2 linked regions of the Mytilus edulis genome follow. The protein of the gene in region 2 purifies or fractionates together with the protein of the main gene of each other region. This does not show direct contact. Links are inferred from orthologs where the notes say so. Each region holds a gene or a part of one and is shown on either strand. Other genes may lie near its edges.

Evidence for each region. The genes of interacting proteins can lie anywhere in the genome.
Region 1: the proteins of centrosomal protein of 78 kDa-like (region 2) and centrosomal protein 43-like purify together in Homo sapiens (affinity purification with mass spectrometry; 3 studies listed by BioGRID and IntAct, with this or other methods). This does not show direct contact. The link is inferred for Mytilus edulis from reciprocal best matches to the Homo sapiens genes CEP78 and CEP43.

Annotation. Positions count from the first base shown.
Region 1 is NC_092353.1:13,360,297-13,370,614, reverse strand, and holds the start of centrosomal protein 43-like, read right to left. Parts: upstream 5,171-10,318; 5' UTR 5,095-5,170; coding exon 5,014-5,094; intron 3,475-5,013; coding exon 3,421-3,474; intron 2,497-3,420; coding exon 2,442-2,496; intron 1,694-2,441; coding exon 1,605-1,693; intron 1,302-1,604; coding exon 1,167-1,301; intron 142-1,166; coding exon 106-141; intron 1-105. Other genes in the region: importin subunit alpha-1-like, read left to right, coding at 6,705-6,764. UniProt on the Homo sapiens protein: Required for anchoring microtubules to the centrosomes. Required for ciliation.
Region 2 is NC_092354.1:21,993,835-22,003,979, forward strand, and holds the start of centrosomal protein of 78 kDa-like, read right to left. Parts: upstream 4,646-10,145; 5' UTR 4,533-4,645; intron 1,652-4,532; 5' UTR 1,629-1,651; coding exon 1,477-1,628; intron 660-1,476; coding exon 559-659; intron 1-558. Other genes in the region: dnaJ homolog subfamily A member 1-like, read left to right, coding at 9,727-9,858. UniProt on the Homo sapiens protein: Centriole wall protein that localizes to mature centrioles and regulates centriole and cilia biogenesis. Involved in centrosome duplication: required for efficient PLK4 centrosomal localization and PLK4-induced overduplication of centrioles.

The DNA of each region.
Region 1 (10,318 bases), on a different chromosome or scaffold from region 2:
AGTATGCACTTAACATAGCTTAATGTCCGCATTAATTTATTTTCAATATGAAAAATTTCAGCTCATTAGCTATAAACTAATATTATAAAATACTAAACAGTTTACCTTAGGTATACACTGATGTCCTTCCTCAGGACTGATCTGTTAGCCAACACAAGGTGCATAAATAGAGATAAAGTGATGTTAATCATAAGGGCTGTTCCAGAAAATACTATGTCCCCCCCAGGGACGGCACTTTTTTTTAACCCCCACCACCCACAGAAATAAAATTTAATTAGAACAGCACTCCCTTTGCATTTTGGTATTTCAAATACAACCACCCACATAATATTTAAAAAAATTGCCTTCCCTGGGGGGGACATAGTATTTTCTGGAACAGCCCTAACCAAGTGTTAATTATAGTTAAAGCAGGTTAGACAACTCTCAAATTATAACTTGCTGAAAATTTAAATAGCTGATAAGCATGGTAAGTGCAATAGAACATTATCAACACAACATATTATTAAAAAAATGCTATAAACCCACTTCATACTACATTGTTGTAAAAATTAAACCCACTTCAAACCACAACATTGTAAAAATTAAATCCTTTTTCATTAGATCATTAGACATATCTAATCAGTGCCCTGTAAACACTACTGAAACCCCTAGTTATATTTACCCAATAATATTGCTAAAACATGATATATAATAATGATAATCACACATTTATGTGACTGAATTCTTTAATCTTCTAATTGTTGAATATGAAATTTAATAATTTCTTAATTATATTTATAAATCTGAAAACTACCACCGGTGAAATGACCAGAAAGTCAGGAGCAGGAGATCAATGAACTTTTTTTACTTAAAGGGTTGATATGGTTTTTGATTAAGACTAATGTTACAGATTTTTTTGTTTTTTTTTGTTTATTATATTAGGACAAATACGTTAAAACTTAATAAAAGAGTTTTGGAAGGAATTAAAAAAACTTCAGAATTTCAAAATTCCATTTTTAAACATAACAGACAATTACAATTATTGATGCCTTATATTAAGTGTACTGCACAAAAGAGCTTCTTGGAAAATTTTAAAGTACAATGAAACATTTTCATCGATTTATTTCTCAAAACTGATATACAAACAGAATCTTTAAAATACCTTTGGAAAATTACAATACACTTACATGTGTAGGAGTTCTAGATCTGGGTGATGAACCTTTCTGTTGAACTAATTCTGCAATGAGGGGCCCAGCTGACTGTCCAGTATCTGATACATTCAATTCTTTGGCAAGTGTATCTCTCGACTCATGTGGTATGTTCTGTAATATATTAGGATTATACTGAATTTAGTTCAGTACTAACCATACACAAGAAGTGGTTTAAAATTTGGATTACAAAATAAATTAATTTGAGACAGGAATTCACAAGAATAACGGGTGGATAGATTTACAAAGTTATGCACATGTAAATAATTTCAAATTACATCTCAGTATTCATTATTTTAGAGGGTTGGAAAATTAATTGATATACTGCTTTTGAATATAGTTTCATTACTGCAGTTCTTTAGAAACCATAATGCTTGTCAATGTTGGTTGGTCCTTCAATTTACAAAAAAAAATTACCAGTCCAGCTTCAGGTTCAAACACAGCTAGAGTATATTCTAACTGGAAAAATTCTAGGAATTCTTTTATCAAACCAGCTACAGCTTTCCCTGTAAAGTAAATAAACAATATTACACTTCATCCTTTTATACTATGAATTAAAATTTAACAAATCCTTCAATTCAAGACAAAATTTATAGCATATTTCTTATCACCAATATGAAACTTCCTAACCCAAACATGCAATAGTCAAAATTAAATGATAAATCTTTGTTATGCCTTTTTCTTTGTCTTCTTTCAATTCCTTGATAGCCATTTATAACAGACATATATCTGATTTCTGAAGAATCCTATTTTTTCCTTATACATTGTTAAAGCTGTAAGAAATGTACTCAAAAGTACTGCAGTCAGCATTAGAATGTAGAATACACTACAGGTTCAATACAGGTAATTTGCTTTGTATCTATAAGTGCAATCTTTTTTTTTAAATTTTTATTTATCATGATATGTTAATGTTTTCCTTGACTCTGCACTTTTGTTTTCTACCAGACTATAATTATTGAGTAAAGTGTTTCTTTGAAACTGAATTTCATTGCTATTTTCAATTTATTTTTTGTCACTGATAAAAAAAATTGGTGGTTCAAACTGCAACATGTTCTTGTGTCTCTCTTAAGAACTTTGTCAGAATTTTTTTTTTGGTTTTGAAGGCAGATCTTTAAAAGTGTCAGTTGAAATTATCTTATTTCTTTTCTAAATTCAGATGATTTAGAACTACATATACAAAAAAAATGTAGTTCATAGACAGACACTGGTATATTACTGAAGAAGGTTTCATTCATGTCATACAAGATTATTTACCTTCCTTTGTACCAAGAAATTTCCTTAGGTCATGGTTTGCAAATGGAGTCTTATTCTACAAATAAATAAAAAGAGAAATCAGTAAAGAAACCTTCATTATTGCATAAACAAATGACAATAAAATATGAACAAGAAGATGTAGTCTGAGTACCAATGGGAAAATACCTTAATCATTCATTCTCAAATATAACACAATTCAAACTTTTATATAATCTGTATGCATACCAAATTAGGATGATATCTTTAATTAAAATCAACATATAAAATATATCAAAGTTTTACGCTGTACATAATTCAGATCACATAAAATTTAGGTAAAATATGTAAATGTAATCTTGATACATACAATATATATCTTACTTTTCCAGAATTTCAGCTTGATTTTTACAGACACTGACAAGTTATAAATAAAATATATACTTGATGATAAGAACAATTTCCTCCCATTTATTTGTTTTAATATTTATTTAGCTGAAGATGAAACCCAATGACATATTGGCCTATATTAAAGGTTTTTTTTTAATTTGATAGTTGGTCTACAGTGATCTCTAGACTGTGAATATTGATATTGTGTATCTACTTGAATCTTAATTGTCTATCAACCGAGTGCCAATCCACATCAACAAAAAGAGTTAATAATCCTATCACATTAAAAGCAAAATCTTGATCCAATTGAAAACCATTAAATGCAATAACTATACATTGAGATGAGTATGTTGAAATTCTGATCAAGTCATAGTGTACAACAATGTAGAAAGCAATGATTGATTCTAAACAATTTCTTAAAAGGGTTATATCAAAGGTAAAGCAAAGAGTAATTTAAGCTAATAGAAAGTGATATATTTACACCAAACATGTATTGGTTCACCGGTATGTAAATCATGTATCTCTTTTTATCAGACTTATAGCAAATGATCCTATTTTTGACAGGTTCATTTATTTAAGGACTTTTGTTCATTATGGCATACAAAAATCATACCTGTGAAGACTCTTGTTCTTCTAAAGCTAGGAATACACTGGCCCTCAGCTGTGCCTGAAAATAATTTTTAAGAAATTAAGCGTTGTTTTTTGGAAAAGTTTAATATGCCTCTCATCCATCATTGTCCATGTCATCATATCTATATTAATTTACATGTATTCAAAATCTTTTAAACTAAAATGATGTAAATTCAGCAGGTTGATACAAATCAGTGAATTATAAAGGTTTTTTTAATTTTCTATTTCAGTCAAAGAAAAGAATAGTGCTGTTGGCTAAGGCCAAATTAAACTGGAGATTCTAAAGAGCCTTTGTCAATCATCTGGATCTATGTGCACCATGATCTTAATCAATGTCAATGGCCACTCAGTGGCGGATCCAGGGGGGGGGGGGGGGGGGGTTCCGGGGGTGCACACCCCCCCTTTATTTTTGCCGATCAATGCATTTGTATCGGGACATATGTTTTGCACCCCCCCTATGCCCTCCAGGGCCTGGGTTAGCACCCCCCCTTTCGAAAATTCCTGCATCCGCCCCTGCCACTTTCCAACATATAAATGTAATAGACTAGAAAATAATTCATGGCCATAATATCATTCCTGTCGATCTTTTATAATTGTATAGTTACTGATCACTTTTGATGTTTACAGTTTTTCAATGTAGGTTTCCAAAATCCAAAGCATGTGACAATATTGGTTTAAGACAAGCACTGTTAAAAAAAACCCACTTATACAGGCTAATCAAGTGTTTTTTATGTTGTGTACTGTTGTTCATATAATTTTTCATAGGGGTGTATCTTCGAGTAGCATGTACTGGTCCAAGTTAAAGGAAAAACTTCCAACTTGTATACATAATTTTTATTTTTTTATTTTAAATAACATACATTCAATGTTTTCTAATAAATAATTTGTCTTTTGAGTAGACCTGTACAAGTAAGAAGACACCTTATTGCTATTCCCGGCTGACCAGAGAATCTGCACCGTTAGAACTAATGACGTCATACAAACAAACACTTTTCCATTGTGGCGTCAGATATTTTTTATTATGATGTCAAAATTTTCTGGGAACCTGTGAGATGTCCAGAAATGGCTAACAAATAGCGACAAGGTGTGTATTAAAAAATATAAATACCTGGGGAATTTTTTTGTTATCAATATTTTTGCAGACTATGTCTAACAACTTTAACTGAAAGGGATTTATTGTAATCCCCTTAAAATGCGATAATCACTGTGTCATGCATAGTACATGTATTTGCTTCTAATTTAAGGGGAGATAATTTGAACCAAAAGTTTATATTTTTTTTTTACAGATTTATAGTTTAACCAATTATGATAAATACAATATAAATCAAGATTTCGGACAAATACGACGTAAAATAAATATTTATGACGCTCATGCATTGCTAATATTTGTAAACATGTCACAAATATTTCTACATTCCGTGGTAACTTTGCCAACTTCTTGTCAGTACATGCATCATGGATGCAAAAGCGTCATCAGCAACGTCTTAAAATTCAAATAGAATGGCGTTATGAATATATGTGCGTCATGTTAGCTTAGCCACCAATAACTTTCAATATTTTGTATGGTTTTAAATACCCTGATTTTTCCTAAAACTCCATTTGTCTCTAAAGTTTGAGCTACAAGATCACGAAGCTCGGTGTCTTCGTCTGCCGACATGATTGTTTTGGGAAATAGGTATCTAGCGCATGAACGGAAGTCGGACAATATTTACTAAAACAATGTTTTATTAATGAAGCTTTAATAATAAAAAAAAATCTGCACTTCTAATATTTCTTTAAAAAAATATCTTTTGAACAGCTTTTCATTGGAAAAAACATATTTCCGTAGAACAGGTGCTTGTTTCGAAACACTCTAGACTTTCCATATGGATAGAGAAAAGTCTTGAAAATATACTTTCGGCTTGTTTTGTTGCTAGTGGCTACAACCAATGAAAATTATCTTTATTTTCTATCATCCAATCAAAACGAAACGGCAAAATGACATTTTATATTACCCGGAATTTTTAAAAAGCAGTTTCACAATACACGCATAGAGAAGAAAACAAGAATTGGCTATATTGTACCAGAAACCAATTGCAGTAAAGAAATCTTATTGAAACAGTATTAACGAAGATATCAGTATTCAGGTAAAATGAAATTCAGTATTTTTAAGGGATAATTTACGACAAAGAACCTACAAACTTTAACATCTTTATCATAATTTTAAAGTAGTGTCTGTTAAAATTTAATACTTTATCCTTTTTGATTTTGTTTGCCTATTATTATTACAATACAATTAATCGTTACATCTTAATTTAGATTTTAATGTCATTCAGCTCTGCTTTTGTCGTTTTGGATGCTGTGAGTGTGATTAGCAATTTTTTATGATGATGCCAATAATATAACTTCTACGGTGCAGTTTTTTTAGTTCAATATCTGTTATTTATTCATCTTTATTTTAAAAATTGATAATTTTAAATGCATATTACAGTAAACCAGTATTAATCGAGCTAATTTATTTACCCCCCCCCTTTTTGTTGAAAAATGAATTATGTGGACATATGGTTGGAATCCCCTTTTTTTATGACTTGCATGCAGGCTTTAGGTAAATGTTATCATAATCAGCTGTAATTGATTTCATTATTTCATGAAATCATTGTGATCAGTCAATTTTTTTAACGTTAATCAGTTACTTTTCACTTCCTGATTACTTTTTGATAACATTTTGATCAAAGACATGCAAGATTTCAACTGCAATTTGGTTACTGTGATGTTGTATGTAGAAATTTTTCATGTTTTTTTTAGCAACGATAATATTCAGGCTTATTTTAATTTTCTGACGTAAGTTGGACATAAATATTACAGAAAAATATATCTGGAAAAGTTTGCTTCACATGCATGACAATAAATATCAGTCTGCACCAAAAACTTTTTAAACTACTAGTCCGAAGACTAATATTCTAACATTTTTCTTATTGGGCCAAACAAAGTTTTGCAAAAACTTACTAGTCCGAACCAAATTTGACTAGTCTGGGGCATCGGACTAGTGGCTAACCGTGCAGACTGCTGACATGTATGCGATCTAAAATCAAATTAAAATCATAAAAACTTGCTTTCATGTTTCACTAATCAGAAAATGAAAATGACTCATGAAAATCTTTAGGATTTAAAAAATTTAGTTATATTGATATGTTGACATTGTTATTGTACATCTGAATCTAGATATATATTATAATTACAAGTGCTAAAAGTTCTGATTATTTCAGATTTAAAAGAAAGCTGTAAAAGATGCCTTCCAATGAAAATGCTCGTATTAAAACCTACAAAAACAAAGGAAGAGATGTTGATGTAAGTGAAGAACTGAGTAATAAATTAAAATAAATATTCATATTACACATATTAAAGTAATATTTGTTTAATGAGTGTTGTAATGAAAGGAAATGATTAGGCCCCAAAATTTAGAAGGTCAGATTATTAAATTTTTTGTGTAGCAATTATATAACAAAACATTTAGTCAGTCTTTAAAATAAAAGAAAGATTTGATGCTTTTTGTAAATTTATAAGAAAAGATTCAACTCCCTTAGACAAAATTAATCTTAGATAGATTTATCTATTTTTTTAAGGTCTGTTTTAGTCATCAGAGCTCCAGATAAGAATTCACAAATTGGGGTTTTTACCCCTCCATTTTTTTTATCTATTTGAGTGAAATAGTTTTTCAATTGCATTATTAATTCCAAGTCGAGCTGTCTAAGTCACCCGTCAAGCAAATATCAAATTGGGTTTTTACCACCAAGCTCCTTAGTGTATTGGTTTTTTCCATTAAGACGATATTGAATGTGTGTGTTCACTCATCAACTAAAATAAATATATACTATATATACTCTTGAACTAAAAATAAACAATGCTTTTGTCTAATTTTATTTACATAAATCTGGATTTTCTTGTCCCTTCTTAGAACTTTTGGTTTCTGATGCTGACTTCATATAACAAGTGATTTGGCCTTTCATGTTCCAACTGATTTCGTTTTGATGAGTTCTAACCCTGTTATCGTTAAGGCACGCAAACACGCCTGGACGCGCCATTGCACAACCCCATACGTTCAAGGGACGCTTCCTGCCAACACTAGCCGAGTCTTGTTATCATCATAATCCTCTCAAAAGGAAACTAAATATAAAAAAGATGTGGTATGATTGCCAATGAGACAACTATCCACAAAAGACCAAAATGACAGACATTTACAACTATAGGTCACCGTATGGCCTTCAACAATGAGCAAAGCCCATACCGCATAGTCAGCTATAAAAGGCCCAGATAAGACAACGTAAAACAATAAAAACGAGAAAAATTACGGCCTTATTTATGTAAAAAAATTCGTAAGGGTTCCACGGAACCCAGTGTCTCGCCTACTTTCAGGGCTTTCCATTGAAATTGAAGTAGAAGGCTGAATTAAAATTATAGGCGGCTGTAACATGCGTTCGGCAAAGCCGGACGCCCACCAAGCTGTAAGCTTGGTGCCTTACGGCAGGGGGTCTGGGGGCCGCTGAAGGCCCCCAGAAGCTCTGATATAAATAGAGCAAAATCCTACATTCTCGCAATCTCCTGGCACCTAATTTCATCTTTCAAATGACCATTTTTTATGTATGAAATTAAAGAAAGAAAAAAAATCTCAAAGAATTTTTTTTTTTTTTTTATGTTATTTTTTTTTACCTTACGCTTGAAATTCATTTACTTTTAAAGGAGATTAATTCATACAATAATCCGATTTGTTAAAAAAATCTTGCTCGATTTATTTTGCATAACTACGTGCATTTGTAAACAAATGACCCCCCTTTTCTCTCTAAAGACTGTTACGCGTATTTAAACCATACAATTATTTCACAAGCATTGACAGAAAATTGATATATCCCCTGATTTTCTCTTTTTTTTTGTAAACTATTCAATAAGTCGGATACATAAATCATTTGGAAATGTTATTTATTTGAGGTCGAGTCGACAATATTCTACTTTCGTTTTTGACCTCTCTGAACACCACGTGGGCTTTGAAAAATGAACTTCAAAAGAGACTGTTTTCCAGATTCTGAACAATATGATCTACTACACTTTCTTTAATTTGACTGATATTATTTCATAACATAAGATTGTCATCCTAATCTGATTGTTTTCACGTTTTAAAAGCCAAAAAAGCCAACGAGTTAATGACCATCGGAACGTCTCTATTGTTATCCTTCAATGGCCACCGGAACGTCTCTCTTGTTATCTTTAAAAAGAAACGATGCATTCTGACTTTAAATAGACAACCAATCAGTGACCTGAATTCATGTGAACTATATTTAGCCCAAGGTAAACACTGACTTTTCATCCTTGTTTATCGTGACCGCGACTTTGCGACAATACGTCTCTCGGCTGCCTGTAAACATTTGAAAAAGATATTTTTTTCTTTTTGAATTTATATTTTTGTCAGCGAAGTAGCGGGCACTTGAAGCCACCGCAAACTGCGGATTTCCGCCGGCTACCGGCTTCAATGGAAAGCCCTGTACTTTTGCTGTTAATCGCAGACTCAACAGAAATGAGGAAAAACATCAATAAAAATTTCCCTCTCGATACTGTCTTTTGATTGAAAGAAGCTTCCAAGTTTGGTAAAAAAATCCAGGATAGTTTATGAATCTAATAAATGTTTTATAAAATTTTTATTAAACTTTAACTGCAGACTGTATGTAATGTTAACTGGAAGTCCATTTATAAGTAAAATACGGAAAAAGTGATTTTTTTTTTTTACCAAATTCACTTCTGAATAATATCTTATGATCAGAAACAGGCTTTTGTCTAAGTTTGGTAGAAATCCAGGATAGTTTAAGAACATTATAAAATTTTTAAAAACAACCACAGAGTGAATGTTTTGTTTCTGGCAAAAAAACTAAGTCCATTTATAAGTAAAATACGGAAAAGTGAAAATTTATTTTTACAAAATTTTCTTCTTGATACTATCTTATGATCATAAACAAGCTTCTGTCCAAGTTTGGTACAAATCAAGGATAGTTTATGAAAGTTATTAAAATTTTAAAAACTTTAACCACAGAGAGAATGTAATGTTTCCTTGCAGAAAAAGTATCCTTTTATAAGTAAAATACGGAAAAGTGGAAATTTATTTTTACAAAATTTTCTTCTTGATACTATCTTATGATCATAAACAAGCTTCTGTCCAAGTTTAGTACAAATCAAGGATAGTTTATGAAAGTTATTAAAATTTAAAAAACTTTAACCACAGAGTGAATGTAATGTTTCCTCGCAGAAAAACTAAGTCCATTTATAAGTAAAATACGGAAAAAATGGAATTTTATTTTTACAAAATTTACTTCTCGATACTTTCTTATGATCATAACAAGCTTCTGTCCAAGTTTGGTAGAAATTCAGTATAGTTTAAGAAAGTTATTAAAATTTCAAAAACTTAAACCACAGAGTGAATATTTGTGGATGCCGCCGCCGACGACGGAATGTATGATCGCTTAGTCTCGCTTTTTTGACTAAAGTCGAAGGCTCAACAAAAATGAAAAGAAAAAAACAAATATGTAACACACAAACAAATGACAACCACACTGAATTACAGGCTCCTGACTTTGGACAGGCACATACATAAATAATGTGGCGGGGTTAAACATGTTAGGGGGATCCCAACACTCCCCTAAGCTGGGACAGTGGTATAACAGTACAACATAAGAACAAACTATAAAAATCAGTTGAAAAAAGGCTTAACTCATCAGATGGACAAACATACAAGTGGACGTGGCCGGGTACTTAAAACATGTTTCTATTCAATATTTTTACCGGAAATTTACTTTCGTTTTAATTCATTGCTAAGTGTTATGTTAAGTCCCCAGAAGTATGAAAAGAATTATGAAAACATG
Region 2 (10,145 bases):
GTAGAAAAACCTATGTACTTCAAAAAATTCAAAATTTTGTAAACAGTTAATTTAAGACTCTTTGTAAGCTCACTATTGAATCATGTGTTTATCACAAATTGGGTCATTAATTCATGGCATAGTCATATGACAGATTTGTTTTCGGTAATTTGAGAGGATGGAAGATCTTTATGATTATTTAATTCAATAAAAACTTTTCTCAGAACTGACATTTTTTAAGACATCATATATGTCTTTTGTTAAAGTCTTTTTGATGACCTCTACATGACTTTTTCATTGTTTGTGTCATTTATTTCATGAACCTGTTACCTCATTGTATTAATATATTTAGGACAAGAGGGACACATCCACAACCAGTGAAAATGTGTGGTTTATGAATAATAAGGAGAATCAACCAATGAAAATGTGTGTTTTATGAATAATAAGGAGAATCAACCAATGAAAATGTGTGTTTTATGAATAATTAGGAGAATCAACCAATGAAAATGTGTGTTCTGTAAATTATACTTGAATAATCAGCAGATAATACTGTGTGCTTTTTGATTTATAATAGATTACCATTTTCATCATTTGGTGGTGTGTAGTAACTACGTATTCCAACAAACTCCAAACTTTTGTTGATTTTAAGTGTGTTTAGTATCGGCTGCCAGTCTGTTACTCTGAAATATATCAAAAGTAAAAGTAAATTTTAGCATTCAACATGCTAAACTCTTCAGTTCTCCAAGATTTTAAACTGAAAATTGAAATTGAATCGGTTTCCGAAAAAGAAAATCTTTCACTGAGTGAGCTAGTCCAAAATAAAACTGAAACCAGTATGGTCTAAGTTTAGTGATAGCCGTATGAACTTTTGGTGCGCTGTAGTTATTAACTTTTGGTGCGCTGTAGTTATTAACTTTTAAGTAATTTGATATCTGGTGGAGAGTTGTCTCATTGGCTACCATATAAAATCTTCTTATTTTTATATATGAATTTCTTATGAACTAATAGAGATTTCCTGATTACCTACTAACAACTTTTAATGGGAGCTAACTCTGCACACCCTAATGAAAAGATTTATTGTTTTATATCCTTGTATACAGTATAAGTAGCGTAAAGCTAAGCAAAAATTTTCCCGTAATAAATTCTAAGATCATTTTATTTTGTTTAATAAATGTTAAATTAGTGTATTACTTGTATCATGTGCACTGATTTTATTTTTACAATGTATTGTGTACCAATAATTAATTGTCAACTGGTCCAAATTTCAATGTACATATAAAAGGTCATTGGTTGTCTTATATGAATGTTTTCCCATTTTGTCATACTGAACCATAACCATGTAGTTTGGCTCATTGTTGAAGGCCATAATGTGACTGGTAGTTGTATACATTTTTGTACCTTCTTGTTTTTCAGTCTGTTTGATAAATAATGTATTTTCGTTGATAGTTTCTGAAAATAATAATACCTCATCACCTTGTTTTTATACGAAATAATTACCTGACTCGATCTCCATTGATATCTAATACATTCTGTTGAAGATGTGCTTTGACAGCTGGAAGGGGACATGAGTCCTGCATGGCACAGAGGTTGTCATAGTGACTGTCAAAATCAACAGCCCCTCTGTGGCGTATCTGTACACTCTCAATCATTCTGCTGGTTCTTCTTTAGTCACCTAAAATAGAAATGAGAAATCTTATTACTGATAGAAATATTTTGTGAACATTTATTTAAAGTATTTCTTATACTTTTTTTAACACTGAATTCACTATAATATTCTTCAAACAATTTACCAAAGAAAGAGTTATTTCCCTTATGTTCTGTAGAGTTATTTCCCTTCTCTCCAGAAGGGTTATCTCCCTTATGTCCTGAAGAGTTATCTCCCTTATGTTCTGTAGAGTTATTTCCCTTCTCTCCTGAAGGGTTATCTCCCTTATGTCCTGAAGAGTTATTTCCCTTATGTTCTGTAGAGTTATTTCCCTTCTCTCCAGAAGGGTTATCTCCCTTATGTCCTGAAGAGTTATCTCCCTTATGTTCTGTAGAGTTATTTTCCTTCTCTCACTTTACCAAATGGAGACAACTCTCCTTTTTTTTCTCTCTCTACTATGGATTTATTTTTTGACAGAGAAGCTTTATAAGGGAAAAAACAACAGCAAAACTTGGCACATCAAACATCAAGGATGGCTTAAATTCATGATTCAGTGAAATGTGTCTCACTTTTCAAACATGGGAAAAGCTATTTTCCTAGTAAAGAGATTTGAAATTATAAGCTACCTCCAAACAAAACCATTAAGTTTGTCAAGAAATATTTATTTTTTTCGCAAATAGATCAGAGTGACATATACATGTACATATATTCCTTGTATCAAACAAGATCAATTATGAAATATTTACCATTAAACATATATACATGTATTAATAATCTATTCAAAAGATGCATATTAAACAACTGAACAGAAATAGGGACCGGTTGGTAACAGTTGATAAAGGTAAGTGTTGTCGTAAACTCTCGATTTAAAAAAAAATTTAGAAACTTTATTGCAAACACTGGATGTACAAAAGACCTTATCGTTATGTGTCCTCCATTCCGTAAAATTCTAAGTCATAATAAAAAACATCTGACGCCACAATAGAAAAGTTATTGTTGTATGACGTCAATAGTTCAAGTGGAACTGATTTTTATGTCAATCAAGACAGATTTCCAAATACAGTAAAACCTGACTAAACCGAATCCTGTATAAACCGAAAACCTGTATAAACCAAACATGTTCATAAGCACCATCATATCAAATTATGTGCGCTGAAAACCTGATAAAACCGAACATCGGCCAAAACCGAAGAAAATCTTAAGTCCCAAAGAGGTTCGGTTTAAACAGGTTTCACTGTAGCTATAAGGTGTATACCAATGGTGCAATCAGGCTTTAAAATTGAGGACATTTTTCTGATGATTTTTAATGTGATTTTATGGACTGAAATAGCATGGGATGGGGGGCATATATATTGTATATAGCAATGTCGCTTTAAGTGGTACTCTTCCAGTTTATCATGCTGTCTCATGTAATTATTTTTATATTTTTTTATTCCTATGTACATGATGTAGTCATACCCATCAATGCAAAAAAATAAAATAGCCTTCCAAGACATAACTATTTAGACAAAAGATGTGGTAAACATATAAATGACATTGTCAATAAACCTGTCAAGCTATAGACTATAAATGAGGGGGGTAGGAGGGGTCTTGATCCGGAAATCCTGAATTTAAATAAATTTAAACATGTTAAATCCTGACATCCCGAATTTCGAAAAAAGAATTCCTTAATGTTGAAAGGGGTCAATCTCAAAAACCTGAGCTTAAAAACACCTGATCACGAAATTCCTGATAAAGGTCCTATCCCCATGAATCTGGGTCCATTCGCGCCCATTCACGTTCGCCCCCTTTCACTTTCGCTCCCTACACGTTCGCGCTCAATTTCTATTGGTTTTGTGTTTAATAACTTTGTAATCAAGTTTTGGCAAGTGTATTCCTATGAGTATATTTGTTGTCATTGTCCTAAATTAAAGTGAGACATGTTTTTTTGTGTTGAATAAATCTTAATCTTGTTTTGGTTAAGTGTATTGCTAACTTTTATTTCATTGTTTCAAAATAAAGAGTGACTATAACAACATAAAATTGAGAAAGGAAATGTGGAATGTGTCAAAGCGACAACAACCCGACCATAGAGCAGACAACAGCCGAAGGCCACCAATGGGTCTTCAATGTAGCGAGAATTCCAGCACCCGTAGGTGTCCTTCAGCTGGCCCCTAAAAATATGTATACTAGTACAGTGATAATGGACGTCATACTAAACTCTGAATTATACACAAAAACAAAAATTAAAAATCATACAAGACTAACAAAGGCCACATATTTTTTTGTGTTGAATAAATTCTAATCATTTTTTGGTTAGTGCATTGCTATGATTTTTTGTTTCATTGTTTCAGATCAAAGGGGCCTATAAGCTGTTTAATAAAATCTTTTGTGTTTTTCATTTGAAATCTTCAATGTTTTTACTCATACCAAGCTAAATACATGCAGTATTTACATCAAATCAATTAAAAACAACAATCTTCATTTTCTAATTATTCAACTGGAATTTTATTGAAAATTGGGTACGAACGGACCTTGGGTGCAAACATGCGAGGTGCGAAAGTGTATTAGGCACAAACGAACCTGATACCTATCCCCCTCATAAATTATTTAGGGTTGTACATGTATGTTGTAAGCTTTTTAACATTTTGTATACTTCATGTACTTTAAAGAAAACTTTTGAATGCACACATATTATAATTTCTTTATAACTTTGTCTATTAGAGTATAAATACAAAGACAGTTACAAACATTGAAAAATTGCAAAATCAAAACAAAACATGCCGGTACTCGTCCCAGTTTTGCAAGATCTAACAGAACATTTCGGAGATTGACATGCTATGCGCCGATTTTAGCCATTTTACGATATTTTCAAAGTTGTTCCTCTGATATTTTATCACTAGACTTCGTGACAAGATAGATAATTTACCATTCATCACAAATAACAGAAGTTTTTCGCTTTCAAAATAAAAGGTTAGTGGCGCTGATTATTAGTTTACATCCCAGAATCCATTGTAACTTCCATAACCATCTGACGTCACTTCCGATAACAAGCACGTTCGTCTAGAAAATTCTCACAAAATCGAAAATAGATCTTTTGAGAAGGAAGTATCATTGCTAAAAGACTTAAAAGAAACGAAGAAACATAATTTAGTAGGTAAATTAAGCAAGAAATCTTTAGTGAAAGTTCCGTAGTGGTTGCTTTTTTTAGGCAGAATGACAAATTTGAAGAAAAGCTTGGTTTTTAGCAACAAAAAGGGGGGATGAAATATATTAGCTACCATTGTTCAAGATTTTAGTATGACACTAATAATCTATTATCAAAAGTCGAAGATTTAATCATGTTTTCATTCAGTTGCCAGTGTTAGTTGATGTATATTCTTACATACAAGTAGTCACACGCCCATCTGCCTGAAGCCTTTAGTTTATTCTTTGACTTTATCTACAAATACAATTCAATGTATGAATAAACCTTATCGTTATTTGTCCGCCTGTACTGGACATCACACATGTTCCCATAATATTTTGACGTCATAAATCAAAAGATCTGACGCCACAATGGAAAAGTCTTAGTGTATGATGCAAAAGTTTACGAAGCGGGACAGCTTTTCCGGTCAGCAATGGTCAGCCGGAAATAGCGAGAAGTTGTATACACTCACTATAGTACACCTTAGCGCTATTTGTCCCACATACCTAGTCATCACAAAGGTTCTCATAAATTTTTGACGTAACAATAGAATTTATCTAATGTTACAATGTAAAAGTGATTGTATGACGCCAATAGTTAAGGTAGCACAGATTCTTGCCATTCTTGGGTAAAGCAGCAAAGATTTCCAAATAGTGATAAGGTATATTGTTAAACTACATGTTGTAGACAAGTTTTGATGTAATTTTTAAGCAGTTAAGCTGCTTTATGCGAGCACCCTAGATTTATGTTCTACCCAATAAATGCTGAAATATGTGCCACTTTTATTATCTGACTGGCTATCATGTTATTTATAACTAATTGGACACTTTTTTCATACTTTTTATTTGGAATATAAAAAAATATTACCATAAAAACGTTAACTGGTCGTCGATTTTCCCAAAAGTTTTGAAGTTGCACATAGGAAGTAGTGCTCGATAAAATTCCTTCTATAGTTTATTATCCACTGTGCTGTTGGCTAAGATGTCAAAGATCAATTGTATGAAATATTTGATCGCCGAAAATCTATAAAGATGAGTCGTTTACATTTCCCATATGGCAAAAGTCGTAGGAATATTGTTGATCATCGATACGTATTTCATACGTCAGTAGTCTATTAATCAGCTGATATAAGTTGGCGGCAATTTCAAATTACATAGAAGACGAAATTTACGTACCTTTTAAAATTGGGAGAATTCTGATGAAACATAGGTACATCATTATTAATCATTTTATTCGTTTTTTTGTCTGAAATGATTGAGATTATTTAAATCGTCTTTATTCAGTAATCTTAAACGTATGCTCATTTGTTTTCTTGTTAATATTATTCCGATTTCTCGCAAATGACCTTCATGCTTGTCAAATTAAGTTATTGTTATTGTAGTTTTCTGATTGGTCGATGTCAAGGTCATTTTAAGATTGTTTCGCTTTTGTGAACAATGTAACATAATGCTACACGTGCTTTGATTAAGCTCAATATGTGCTTCAATAAATATTGTGATTAAAACTTTAACAATTGTTTTCTAAAGGACGGCATTATTTAACTTCAAAGTCGCATATTTTGTAAAATATTAAGTCCGAATCTGTGACGCGTATCACACCGTAATTGTTTTTAATTTACAAGGACTTTTCGATTTCCGGTACAGAAAAATACGACTTTTTTAAATGTTTTTTTTTTTTATAATTTTTCACATTTAAACACTCGTTAAGTGTTATTGAATCAATTCTATGCGGTTCCTTCAGCAACTTTATGCTGGCAAACGATTTCCCCATGAAAATAATATGAAAAGAAATCGCATGATACAATAAAAAGGTAACGACTAACGAGGCTCGAGAAATGTTTTAATATGTTTTCAACAAGTTGAAGTTACAAACAAGTTTTTCTTAATTCCTACTATTACAGTTATTGAAAGTTTAAATACATGTGTTTTTTTTATTATGATATTAGTAATGGAAGACAGTTAAACCGTAATCAAGATATATTTTAATTCAGTTATAATTTGAGACGTAAAAAAAATTGAGAGTGAACATGCAGTGTTCTCCCCAGGCCCTTAAAGGACCACGGGCCCGCGATGTATAATTTTCTACCGCGGTGGTATCGTTCTTGCCGCGATGTATAAATTTTCTCCGTGGTGCTAAAGTTTTCGGTAAAAAATTCGTATTAAAATCGGTAAAGTTTCAAATGACTTCAACTTTCAGTGAGGGTTAAAATTTTACATGAAAATTGACCAGTTCTAACCAGTTTAATCCAGTATTGATAGGTAGATTGTTTACACCACGTGATCGATTTACCTGTTGAGGTTAACATTGATGATTGGATTTAATCGATGTACATGATTCTCTTGTGTTTTAATTAATTAAGAGATCATAATTTTAATAACAGACTTGTAATAGGGGACAAGCAGACATTTGTGAATGAACTCTTTTACGCCAGTCTTTTAGTCAAAATAATTTGACTGTTATAGAAATTAATTGTGGAGTTATTTCCCCTGATTTTGCTTATTACAAATAAATGCTCCTCACATATAATTTCTCATTGAAAATTAAAATAAAGCACAAATTAAATGCAAAATTATATTAGAATGTTACATTAAGGATAAAAAAAATCTTAGAAGATACCAACGAAAATGTTTTGCAAATTATTTTAGAGAATGATACCTTTATTGATACACAGACATTTTGTAATTTTATATTAAATAGACTTTTACTTCACATGGGTCATTGATAAAAAAGCATCTTGTGCCTAAACTTCACAGGAATGTGAGTTTAGAATTACTAATACAATTGAAATTAAGTATTTATAAACTTAAACTTTTAAAATAATAACTAAGATGCATAAAAAAAATAAAAAAAACTGTTGTTAAAAAGAATGGAAAGTAGGTTTCAATTTACTGATGGTTCTGTAACAAAAATTAATCTTGTTCAAAGTTCATTGTTATGGTCAAATCTAACATGGGGAATGTGTAGTGTAACTTCAAGTATTGGGACAAAATGGCTTGATCCAAATATAAGAAGTAAGATATTAAAGTATAAAAACTGTTATATTGATTTACTTTTTCTACCAATAATGTTCTGACCCAAAGTCCATACAACACAGTACCACAGTAAACAAAACAAAGGCAAAAAGGTAATGACAAAAACCAACAAGAAAAAAATAAGCGACGCAACGCGACTCAAAATATTGTAAAATTCATTTCGTCACGCGTTACCCTGGTGCTATCCAAAAATCCTGGGGAGAACACTGAACATGGTGAAAATGGGGAATGTGTCATAGAGACAATAACCAGATCTTAGAGCAGACAACAGTCGAAGGTTACCAATGGATCTTTACTGCAGGGAGAAACTCCAACACCCAAAGGATTGCTTTTGCTGGCCCCTTAACGTAATAACAAAAATGTAAACTATTTGAACTAGTCACTTGTTCCGGTGGAACTTTTTAAACCAGAGGAAGAACAAAGTAACTACAATGTAGTTAATAAGTTCCGGAGAACTTTTCGGCTAGCTAGTTCTTTCCGCCTGGAACTTTCCAACCTCGCAACAAAAGAGCATTTACAATAACTTGGTCATCATACTAAAATCAGATGTATACACAAGAAATTAATAAAATTAAAAAAAATGTACAAAACAATTATGAAAAATAAATATGATATACAGCTACAATCACCACACTAGTCACTGGGTCCTCACTATGGACAGGTACATACAGAATGTGGCGGCTTAAACATCTTAACTGGCACAAACCTCTCCCCTAACATAGGACAGTGTATGTGTATAATCTCAGACATTGAATCTTTATAAATATAAATTGGAAATAACTTTTGAAAGTGGTAGGATTGCATAACATAAACATTACTGTACAAGCATTATTTGGTACTTTAGAAATAGCTGAGAACAATGCCTGAGATAAATATTTTGACTAATTCTTTACACTATTCATCTGAACGTGGCCAAGTTTGCCGTTGGGTTTTTGATTAACTGCCTATAGCACCCTTTGGTGCTTTGATTTAATGAACAGTCTGCACCCAAAACTTTTTCATCTACTAGTCCGGACACTAAATATCAAAACTTGTCCCTATAAGACTATAGAAAATTTTCACCAGTCCGAATTAATATTTACTAGACTGGGGCATCGGACTAGTGGCTAACGGTGCAGACTGAATGAACTACCCTGGTTGACCTGGGTTGATTTGTAGAAAGCACATCTAAAAAAAATATTCTGTGAAGATACATGTATATGCTTTGAGATGCTATTTAATTGTGGGTACAAGCATATTCATATATCAGAAACAAATTATAATACAATATCTAATAAACATGATAAAAATCAGGAGAAAGACACGATAACTTGAAATTATTAAAACATGCAATAAACATATTCTCTTTTGGTATTTAGCTGAATTTGCCTCTGAATGACCTTAGAACTTTTCAGAATAACATTCTGACGTCTAACAACAATCACTTTTTAATTGTGATGTCAAAGTTTACGGGTGTGCTTGTAAGAATGGTGGACACATTTGCATAACAATGTAAATGTCTATGTTGTTTTTACATTATTCTGTTATTCATAGTTATCAGTATTTTTTTGGGAAAAAAAATTCCCTACCTACACAGTCTGCGCCAAAAACTTTTTCATCTACTAGTCCAGAAACTAAATATCAAAACTTGTCCCTATACGACTATTATATAAAATTTAGAAAATTTTTATTAGTCCGTTACAATTCTGGGGCATCGGACTAGTGGCTAACCGTGCAGACTGCCTACATGTATATGTGTAACTACAGAATCTATATATGAACCTCTGGGTAGAGGAACAACAAACAAATTTTTATGTTTAACCTAATCTCTGGCAATGTTGGAGTTATGTCTGCAGTTTATTGAAATGACTTTTACGATTCATATCAATGTATTTCATTTCAGACTGAATATTTAGTGAGAAAACATGGTAAAAGAAACTGGGTACTACGATCTCTTGGGAGTGAAGCCTACTTCAACGCCAGATGAGATCAAGAAAGCTTACAGAAAATTAGCCCTGAAATTTCATCCAGATAAAAATCCAAATGAAGGAGAAAAGGTATTAATTAAAGGCTTTTATAGCTGACTATGCAGTATGGGCTTTGCTCATTGTTGAAGGCTGTACAATAACCTATATACTTTGTTAATTTCAATGACATTTTGTCACTTGTGGAGAGTTGTCTCATTGGCAATCATACCACATCTTCTTTTATATCTTTTATAAATATGAAAATCAGGAGATGTTGCATGATTGTCATTGAGACAACTATCTGTAGACCAAAAGAACAAAGAGGCAGTATGATTGTCAAGTAGAGAAATATCCACCAGATGTATGTTAAGGGGGTA